3 linked regions of the Saccharomyces cerevisiae S288C genome follow. Changing the gene in region 2 together with the main gene of any one other region gives a genetic interaction. Each region holds a gene or a part of one and is shown on either strand. Other genes may lie near its edges.

The links.
Region 1: mutations in GAL2 (region 2) and MPH3 together harm fitness more than expected from each alone (negative genetic interaction), as found in Saccharomyces cerevisiae (one large-scale study listed by BioGRID).
Region 3: mutations in GAL2 (region 2) and FRM2 together harm fitness less than expected from each alone (positive genetic interaction), as found in Saccharomyces cerevisiae (one large-scale study listed by BioGRID).

Annotation. Positions count from the first base shown.
Region 1 is NC_001142.9:738,197-741,955, reverse strand, and holds the start of MPH3 (alpha-glucoside permease), read left to right. Parts: upstream 1-2,139; coding exon 2,140-3,759. UniProt on the Saccharomyces cerevisiae protein: High-affinity uptake of maltose and maltotriose. Also transports alpha-methylglucoside, glucose and turanose but not melezitose or trehalose.
Region 2 is NC_001144.5:288,214-291,972, reverse strand, and holds GAL2 (galactose permease GAL2), read right to left. Parts: upstream 1,762-3,759; coding exon 37-1,761; downstream 1-36. Other genes in the region: EMP46 (Emp46p), read right to left, coding at 2,723-3,759. UniProt on the Saccharomyces cerevisiae protein: GAL2 is a facilitated diffusion transporter required for both the high-affinity galactokinase-dependent and low-affinity galactokinase-independent galactose transport processes.
Region 3 is NC_001135.5:74,045-77,029, forward strand, and holds FRM2 (type II nitroreductase), read right to left. Parts: upstream 1,242-2,985; coding exon 660-1,241; downstream 1-659. Other genes in the region: amino acid transporter AGP1, read right to left, coding at 1,974-2,985. UniProt on the Saccharomyces cerevisiae protein: Type II nitroreductase, able to reduce 4-nitroquinoline N-oxide (4-NQO) into 4-aminoquinoline-N-oxide (4-AQO) via 4-hydroxyaminoquinoline (4-HAQO), using NADH as reductant. involved in the oxidative stress response.

The sequences.
Region 1 (3,759 bases), on a different chromosome or scaffold from region 2:
TCAGTTAGCTGGAGTCGCGTTGGTTAACAAATTAACTAAATTCACCATTACTTTACTTAAAGACCTATCACCACAAAGGAAATGGCGATTCTACAACAGGACCAGCTTCACTGTTTTTACCGTTGATTTAAAGATCACCTTTTGACTATTTTATATGCCAATTCAGAAACCGTTATAATAGAAGTTTTCTACTACAAAATTTACAGGATGTTGTAGCTTGATTGCATAATATTTTTTTAAAACGGATAACCACCAACCCTCGTCAGTGACTTCCCATTATGAAAATTTTCTCTTCTAATCCTTTTTGGTACCCTTTTTCCTATCATGCGCCTCGAAACAACTTCCATAGTACGTGCCTGCTACTGTGAGTAGTTTACTGCCGCAGTCAAACACTATACTGATTCAGCATCCATCAGTAAGTGCGCGCTAAAACGACAACTTTTTCGTACCTTTACAAGTAAGGAGTGGTTAAGGTGTATAGCTCATACTAGATATTAAACTTCGGAGAAAAGTCCCTGTTTCAATGACAAATATGAGTTGCACAATAGAATTTTTATATCTATGATTACGCTTGGTAGGATGAAACTCTTAAATTCCGTTATAAGTTTTATAAATCGCCGTAATTGCAAAAATACAGGGTGATGCGTATAAGTCTCATAAAAATCAAATCATTCCCTCTATTGCAACCATATCAAATTTTGATGATGATTATTTTACAATTTTCATTGCCATGGATGAAAATAAACGCTGATATCTTTATAATTAACCCGGAATGGAAATTGTGCACAGTACATCAATGGCGTTTCGAGTATTAAGACCTGTGATTTAGAGCCAATTAGCCAAGTAAAGCGACATTTCCTTTCTATGTTTGGCATCTTTTTTTTTTGGCCTTAAAACAGTGTTTCTATAAAATTAAGGGCCAACTCTTACAATAGTAATGAGATTAATAAGGCCCAAAGAATATTTTGGCCATTTCTTTTTCGTACAACCATATAGTTTTCTCAAGTAGCGACGAAAGAGAGATAACTGAAACAAAATGTCATGGAAGAAGTGCTTATATTAAAAAATCTATGTCGGAAATATTTCTATAGGGAAAAGTATACTAAAATCTTACTCGAGCTTTGAAATGAACAAGCCTAAACCGCCCAATTCCAAGATCTTTAATATACTATAACTTGAAAGTCATACCTGTTATATCACTCCAGAGGTTATTGTGGGAGCATATTTAATGCTTTGTGGGTAAGCTTGATAAACTGTAGTTCTACCACTTTTCCCAGGATACTGATTATGGTAAAAGTTCTTATTTGTCTTACGACTTAGATTTAGCACTCACATTTGTCATCATATGTTGAAAAATCAAGCTGGAATTTATTGGTGGATCTTTCATCTCCATTTATACTTTTTACTTGTTTTTCTCCAAGCAAAAAGATTTCACGTTGTTCGGGAGGTAAATATGAAGTAGGAGAGCAGTCAGGTAGAGTGGTTATCCCATCAGCCAGAACCTGTCCGTAAACAGGTTGTGGACTACAGTATGTGTGTTTTTTTCTTTCTAATTACTCAATTTGGATATTTTGGTGACTATAAAGACCTCTCGTAAATTTCTGAAAATATGCTTCGGTTCGAATCTGTGGTCTGCAGTGCAGCGTGTTGGTATTTTACCGACAGTTTTAGCGAAATATGTATAGATCTGTCACGCTTGCAACATCGCGACAGGTCGATATACTAAAATTACAGCATGAATTTCTGATCTATAATCACACTGTTGCAGTTTCCAGAGAGTCAATCATATTAAGTCCTCAGTTTGAATCAATGTTGGCTTTGTTCTTCTGGAGAGGAATCAGCTCGTTATATGTTTGTCTTTTTCTCTGCTCGAGAGTCATCGCGACATTCCACACCCCGCGTTTTACGTGCACAGAATCTTTCGTAGAAGGGAGCATTTGACATCCTGTCAGCCATATGCAATGAGTATGCCACAAGTTCATGATAGTGTTGACTATAGAATATAAAAAAAAGGTGGGGTCATCTGTAATCGTTGTTTGTAATTCTTAGAGGCCTGTTCTTGGAATTATTATGCAAAGATTACCATCACAAAATCTAACACAAATAGAGATACAGGTCTTGTAAAGCCATTACCTAGCTATGAAAAACTTATCTTTTCTCATAAACAGAAGAAAGGAAAATACAAGTGACTCGAATGTATACCCAGGAAAGGCTAAGTCGCATGAACCCAGCTGGATAGAAATGGATGATCAAACTAAGAAGGACGGCTTAGATATTGTTCATGTTGAGTTCAGTCCGGATACAAGAGCGCCAAGCGATAGCAATAAAGTAATAACAGAGATATTTGACGCTACTGAGGATGCCAAGGAGGCAGACGAAAGTGAAAGAGGAATGCCACTTGCGACAGCATTGAATACATATCCCAAGGCAGCAGCTTGGTCACTATTGGTCTCTACAACTTTAATCATGGAAGGGTACGACACAGCTATTCTTGGAGCTTTCTACGCCTTGCCTATTTTTCAGAGAAAGTTTGGCTCACAAAATGACAAAACTGGAGAATGGGAAATTTCAGCGTCATGGCAAATCGGGCTGACCTTATGTTATATGGCAGGTGAAATTGTGGGGCTACAGCTAACGGGGCCCTCCGTGGATCTTGTTGGAAATCGTTACACATTGATTATTGCATTGTTTTTTTTAGCTGCCTTCACTTTTATACTGTACTTTTGCAATAGTTTAGGCATGATTGCTGTGGGACAAGCATTGTGCGGGATGCCATGGGGTTGTTTTCAGTGTTTGACGGTGTCTTACGCTTCTGAAATATGCCCATTGGCTCTGAGATATTACCTTACAACCTATTCAAACTTGTGCTGGTTATTTGGACAACTTTTTGCAGCTGGAATCATGAAAAATTCTCAAAAAAAATATGCGGATTCAGAATTAGGATATAAACTACCATTTGCCCTACAGTGGATTTTGCCAGTTCCTTTAGCACTGGGAATTTTTTTTGCACCTGAATCTCCATGGTGGCTAGTTAAAAAAGGAAGGTTTGATGAGGCAAGGAGATCACTTAGAAGAACTTTAAGCGGCAAGGGACCTGAAAAAGAAATACTAGTAACTCTGGAGGTGGACAAAATAAAAGTGACTATAGATAAGGAAAAGAGACTCACAAGTAAAGAAGGCTCCTATAGTGATTGTTTTGAAGACAAGATTAATCGAAGAAGAACGAGAATTACTTGTCTCTGCTGGGCTGGTCAAGCCACTTGTGGTTCAATACTAATAGGTTATTCAACTTACTTTTACGAAAAGGCTGGCGTTAGTACTGAAATGTCCTTCACTTTTAGTATTATTCAATACTGTCTCGGTATTTGTGCTACATTTCTATCTTGGTGGGCGTCAAAGTATTTTGGTAGATATGACCTTTACGCTTTTGGACTAGCCTTCCAAACCATTGTTTTTTTCATTATTGGCGGTTTGGGGTGCTCAAGTACGCACGGTTCCAAAATGGGAAGTGGTTCTCTTTTAATGGCTGTAGCATTTTTTTACAATTTAGGAATTGCCCCGGTCGTTTTTTGCCTAGTCTCTGAAATGCCATCTTCAAGACTAAGAACGAAAACAATCATTCTAGCACGTAACACTTATAATGTGGTCAGTATCATATGTAGCGTTCTCATCTTATACCAACTGAACTCTAAGAAGTGGAACTGGGGCGCTAAGTCAGGCTTTTTCTGGGGTGTCTTATGCTTTTGTACTTTAATCTGG
Region 2 (3,759 bases):
TTAAGAGAGATGATGGAGCGTCTCACTTCAAACGCATTATTCTAGCATGGCCTTGTACCACGGTTTGTCGTCATGTTGTAAATCCTCTAAATCGTAATTATTACCTCTTCTGGATGAAGGAATCCAGCCTTCAGATTTCCAAGGTAAAACACCTTCTTCCCATAATTCTTGAATTTCTTCTAACGATAGGCCTTTAGTTTCTGGAACAAAGAAAAAGACATAAAAAAACATGGCAACCAAACAGCCCATGAAGACATAACCGTAGTAGAAGTTAATGGCAGATGTGATGAATGGGGTGAAAAATGCAATCAAGAACCCCCATACCCAATTGGAAGCAGAGGCCAACGCCATACATTTCGACTTGACTCTCAGTGGGAATGATTCTGCTGTGATGACCCAGGCAACTGGCGCCCAGGTTGTGGCATAACAGAAAATATAAAAACAGGTAAAGACAATCATACAGTTACCGGCACCTTTAGAAGATGGCTGGCTTTTACCGTGAGGATATAATCTAGTAACACCAACAGAGGCGTAGATGACCATACAAGCCATCATAGTGGCAGCGCCCAAAAGTAAACATTTACGATGTCCCAAGTTTTCGACAGTCCACAAACTAAAGAAAGTGGAGGCAAAGTTGACTACACCAATGACAATGGATGTTTCAAAGGAATCATCCAGGCCAACTGACTTGAAAATAACGGTACCGTAGTAGAAAAAATAATTGTTACCGGTTAATTGTTGGAACATTTGAACAAACACACCCATCAACAAACGTTGAAATACTTTGGTCTTGGTGGAAAATAATTCCCCCCAGGACGCATTGCCAGCCAGTTTTTCAGCTTCTATACCGGCCATGATCAGATCTAACTCTGCCTGGACGGCAGGATCCTCTGGTGACACCTTGTTAGACTTAGCAATGGAACGCTTGGCGTCTTCTACCTTATTCACCTCACATAAATAACGTGGGGATTCAGGAACTAACGTCAAAGCGCCAATCATAAATAATGACCAAGCGAAACATAGCCCTAATGGAACTCTCCATTGAACTGAGTTCGAATAGCTCTTTGTACCGTAATTAGTACAGTAGCCCAAAAAGATACCTGCAGTAATCATCAGCTGATAACAAGAAACTAGTGTGCCTCTCAAGTGCTTTGGAGCAATTTCAGAGATCAACATAGGACATAAGACGGCGATGCCGCCGACACCCAAACCAGATATGATTCTACCAATGAAATATTGGTACCACTTGTTGATAGAGGCAATTTGAATGATAATACCAACTATATAAACCGAGACGACAATCGAAAGACCCTTTTTACGGCCATACATATCTCCACCTTTGGAAAGTATAATACCACCAAAGGCACAGCCAATATTGAAAATGGCGACGATTAAACCTGTTCTGACGTTTGACAAATAGTGGGTACCATCCTTATGTTTCATACCAAACCTTCTCAAAAAGTCTGTTTGGACAACAAACCCAGAAATAGTACCGGTATCCCAGCCAAACATGAAGCCGCCGAAGGCAACACACAAACAAAGCAAGGAAACGGTAACATATTCAGACATGGGCTTCTTGGGTATCTCTATAGGAACACTTTGGGAGCCTTCAGACCCTGACTCACCGGCTTTCAATTCATCATTAGAATACTTTTGAGATTGTGCGCTTAAATGGGAATCTTTACTGAGTGAAGAGATCACGTCTTCACCAGCTTGGGGTTGCTGTGAAACAACAGGCATATTGTTCTCCTCAACTGCCATTATGAAAGAATTATTTTTTTTATTATGTTAATCTTGTGTTTACTTAACTATTACTATTCTTGATGATAATTGAATAAGGTGCATAATGAAGAGCAATTCACAACACCAAATTTTCAATCCAATTACTGATTGTTTATATATGTCTACAAAACTTATCCTATCTCCACATTTTAGCCTGCGAAATGTTTGTTTTTTGAACAATAGCTCTCCAGAATGTTGTATAATTTAAGAATATGTGCACAGTTAACTTTCTAGCAGGAGTATAATGCCATTTGCTCCCCATCTTGAGATGGGAAGGGCTTAACTAATCTCGGTTCGGAGTGATCCGCCCCGATACTGCCTTCTGCCTTAATATCGTCCAAGGCACATGGACCCCTGAACGGCGCAGATATCTCCGCACGGACGAAAGACCGCCGGTGCCTTCCTGAGGCAACCGCCCCTTTCGAATATAGATCACGTGACCCATTTTTAGCTACTAATAGAAAAAGAAATTGCAACCTACTTAAGCCATTCCGGAAGGAAGCTTTCCGAATTGACGTTGAGTACCTTTTGTGAAAAGATTCTACCGCATTTAATTGGAGTTTGATGCAAAGTAGTTGCCAGTTACAAGTTGAGTGCGGCTACCTGATATTTTCTAGTCCTATATTGCTGTGATCTGAATCTGGAAAGTTCCCCTGGTCCGTAAACCTCCTTGGATTAGTACAGCCCGTTATGCTCAGTAAATGTAATAGATGTGCCTTCTGCAGCGAAACTGGTATTGTAGGAGACATATTACTGTCGTCTTGGAAGCAAAATTAATGTTTTGCTGCTTTTACTGTCGCGTTTAACAGTTGATTTTCCCAAAAAAAAAAAAAGAAGTTAACAGCATCTATATAAAGAAGGATATAGATAACATGCACATTTTCGTATGTAATAGTTATGTTTCTTATATCTTGTACCCATATAACAAAGACACAAGAGCTTACAGAAGTTTGACCTTCTTGATGTCTTGGTTAATTCTAAACATGTAGTACGCCAATGTGATCATAATGAAAATCAGCAGTGCCAACCATACACTTATTTTGGAAAATATCTCATCATGACCTTTGGTCTGCTTGCCATACAGCTTGGCATCTTGTCGAATTTTTTCTTGTTCTTTTATCAATCTGTCCAGGTTTGCGTTCATCGAAAGAAAATCTTGGAAACTATCGTCACTTATGGCTGTTTTCTTCAGATCTAACAGTGGTCTTAAACGTTGAATCAGTTCACGTTCATTCTCCACAATCTTGTTCATCTTGCGGAGTAATGGATCGATATCATTTGCCATGATTTTCCCCTCCAACTTGTTCATCTTTTCGAAAAGCTCGTTACTCGTTATACTTTCTTCCTTATCAGAAAATGGCATCTTTTCCCTGAAACTCTCTTCACCAGTTTGAGAATTGATCACTTTAGTAACCACTCTGGGTTGTCCCATAGGATTCACGTTAGGAATTAGCGAATCCTCTATAACTCCGTCATAAAGCTTCATTTTCAAGATTTCAAACGATTCTTTGGATGCATCGTTGATAGCACTTGTTCCAATCCTAAATGGGCTGCTGCCCATAAATTTAACTTTCCTTGTCTGGAAACACACTCTGTTGTCCATTTGCAACTTTAACAAGTGATTATCTAGTGGATTGTAAGTCAATCTTAATGTTGATGGTACCATGGAATCCTGGTATTGGAACAGACATGACGCAAAGTACGGTGAGGATTCAATATCAAGATCTTTTGTTCCGTCATTCAAATACGCTGTCACGCTCTCTCCCAACTTATCGTCTAATCGTAACAATATCATCAAACCATTAAACTTCTTCGAACTTCCACCAAATAACTCGGTACTATCTCCCTCATTTCCTTGCTTCAGCCAAAATGCAAGACCCCCCTTTGTGCTGCCTCTGAACCCGAAACTTCTAAACGTCCACTCTATTGTCATTGCATCCTTTATTGAATATTCAGGTTTCAACCAAAGTGAACCCT
Region 3 (2,985 bases), on a different chromosome or scaffold from region 2:
AGTACAAATTATGTAGTCAGTTCCTTCAGTATGGTGTCCTTATATACTGTAGTTTGGACAAGGTGCAAATGCCAAGACCCTAGCCCGAAAAGCTCGAGGCACCCCAGGATCTTTTTCTTTACGTAATTTTCACGTAAAACGCCACAGTCCGATTTTTCTCGAATAATCATTAGTAAAAGCGGTATACTGGATTATTGTACGATAACAAGGTAGAGCTTTATTACTAAGCTAAGACGTTCTTACATCAATAGTGCTGTTCGTTATTGATGTTAGGAGAAGGAGCGGGTCTGGTGAATAGTGTAAGCAGTGTTTCTGAACTTTTTCTTCGTCTAAGTCCTTGTAATGTAAGGTAAGAATGCAAGCATCTTGTTTGTAACGCGATTGTACGTTGACGTTAGTAAGTCACAAACCCAAGCTTAACTTCTTCGTGAGGAAGGAAAGTGTTGTCTCCTACTTTTTTCAAATTTTCGAATTGTATTTATATTTATTTAGTACTTCTTGAGTTTACATATCCTTCGTAAAAATGCAACTTTTGTCGAAAAACACTTCCAAAAAAAAATAATAATGAATTTATGAAGCATACTAACGAGCGAGCACATCGCTGAGGTATCATTACTTCATGAGATAAATTAAGATCTCCTCATATGCGAATTTCCTGTTCAGTGATAAACGTTGATTACGTTATTGATAAAAGTCTTTTCTTCTGGCAAGGCAGTTGGAACACCAAAGACCAATTGAGATTGTACAGTCCACGCAATAGGAACATCTTGAGGCAAAGCAGATTTGACGTAGTCATTATAGTGTTGCAAATTAGCCCCCAATCCCAATAGTTCGAGGGCAGTCCAAGACTGAATTTGCACAGCACCGGTCGTATGAGCGGCGCATGTTGGGAAAGCGGCTGCCAAGGCTGGAAAATCTCTTTGCAGTTTTTCAGTTGGTCCTTCATCAGTGAAGAAAATGACTGAACCGTAAGCCTCATCTCTGCAAGACTCTGGTCTCTTCTTGGCTTCAGCAGTTGGCATTGCGCTCGCAACAGCATCCCATATCCTTTTGTGTGTATCACCAACGATAATGACAGCGCGATTCACTTGTGAGTTAAAAGCTGTTGGCGTATTCTTGAGAATAACGTGTACAGTTCTCTTTACATCATCCAAACCGACACCTTGTGGTAATTCGGGCTTCAAATTGTAGATGGTACGACGGTTTGTAATAGCGTTTAAGTAGTTTCCAGTTGGGGACATTTCTTTGGCTTGGAGGTCTGGTGTTCTTGATTTTGATGGTGTATATAGCTTTAAAAAACCAAAAATGATCAACCTTTATATCTCTCTTCGATCACAACATGGGTGGAGACAAACACAAAGTAGTGATGACCCACTCAGGTGTTAAAGTGTGTCATATCTGCAAATGACACTGTATTTTTTTTTCCTTTGCCATTTATTGTCGCAGTAAGGAAAAGCGCAGAGCAAAGCTGACAAATTGAAAAATTATTCGGAAGAGCATTGACAAATATTGATTAATAATCAAGTAACACTCGCAGACATTGTTATTTCAGAAGTAAAAATATCGCAGAACAAGTTGGTTAAACTGAATGCTTCAGTCATTCTAATGCTAATTACACCTTAACAAAATTAAAAATTCTTAACGTAGATTTTTAAAAAAGGCAAGAAGATCGTTCCTGATGCACGACGAAAACGGTTGCACCCCTACTAAGGCAAAATTGCATATGCGGATGAAATCAAACCTCTTCTGTTGCATTAAGAACAAAAGGAAATCATTTTTCTCTCACTTCATATTATTTCACTTATATTTTCCTCTCCACTTCCATCACGCAATCGTTAGTGCTTTTTATTTTTTTTCTTCGCTCATAAAGGACTAGAATTAAAATGAAAATCGTCTATCATTACACGTATGCTATTACTACAAAACAGAAGTACAAAAATGAATAAATATAAAAGAAGTAAATGCTTTTTTTTTTAACACCAGAAGGCAACGACCCTTTTCCAATAAGGTCCGTTCCTCAAACGTTCCCTATATTCTTCGTCTTCTTGCTTGATTAATTCTTCATCAAAGATTTGTCTATGAGAATCTAGGTCGATCTTGTCTGCCCTGATGAACAGTTTCCAATCCTTGTGCCAGACCTTGTAGCCGACATAAAGTGCAATCAAGATTGGCATAGCCAAGTAGTTTTCGAAAAAGGCTTGTGCATCCAGCTTACCTTCACCAATGGGGGCGATAGCGACCCAAAATTGGGCAATAAGAATTAAAATCATCATAATGCAAGCGTAGGCAGATCCCCAAACACCAGTTTGAGATTTGAAACCCAATTCTCCAAGAGATCTCCCTTGGACTTTCATGGCTCTTCTAAATCTAAGATGGGATAAACAAATGGCAGTCCATGTGAAAAGCTGAGACAAACCAGAAATGGCCAATAACCAAGTGAAAACTTGTTCTTCCTTGGGAGATGCAGCACAGAAGGCAATAACGGCAAACAATGCAGAAACACCCATGGCAATCAATGGTCTACCGGCTCTGTCGATGTAGGAGAAAACCTTAGGAGCGTAACCTTGCTCGGATAGAGTTAAAAATAAACGAGCACTGGAGTAGAAGGAGGAGTTAGCCATGGACAGCACGGAAAGTAGAATAACGGCGTTAATGAAGTGTGGGACGACACGGACACCGTGGGATGCAACAGCAATGACATATGGCGAGGCTTTAGTACCACCACCGGTAGAACCCAATAATTGATCGGAATTGTATGGCACCAAGAAACCCAGTAGAATAATGGTAGCCAAGAATAGGAATAAGATTCTGTAGATCATTTGTTTGGCCGCACCTGGAATGGCCTTTCTTGGATTAGATTGTTCTGCAGTGGTGATGGCAATAAACTCTGAACCACCAAAGGCAAAAGCAGCAGTCACTAATGTTGCAGCAACACCTTTAAATCTGTCAATGGCATGTTTACCATTGAAAGCGCCCGGATCGTGC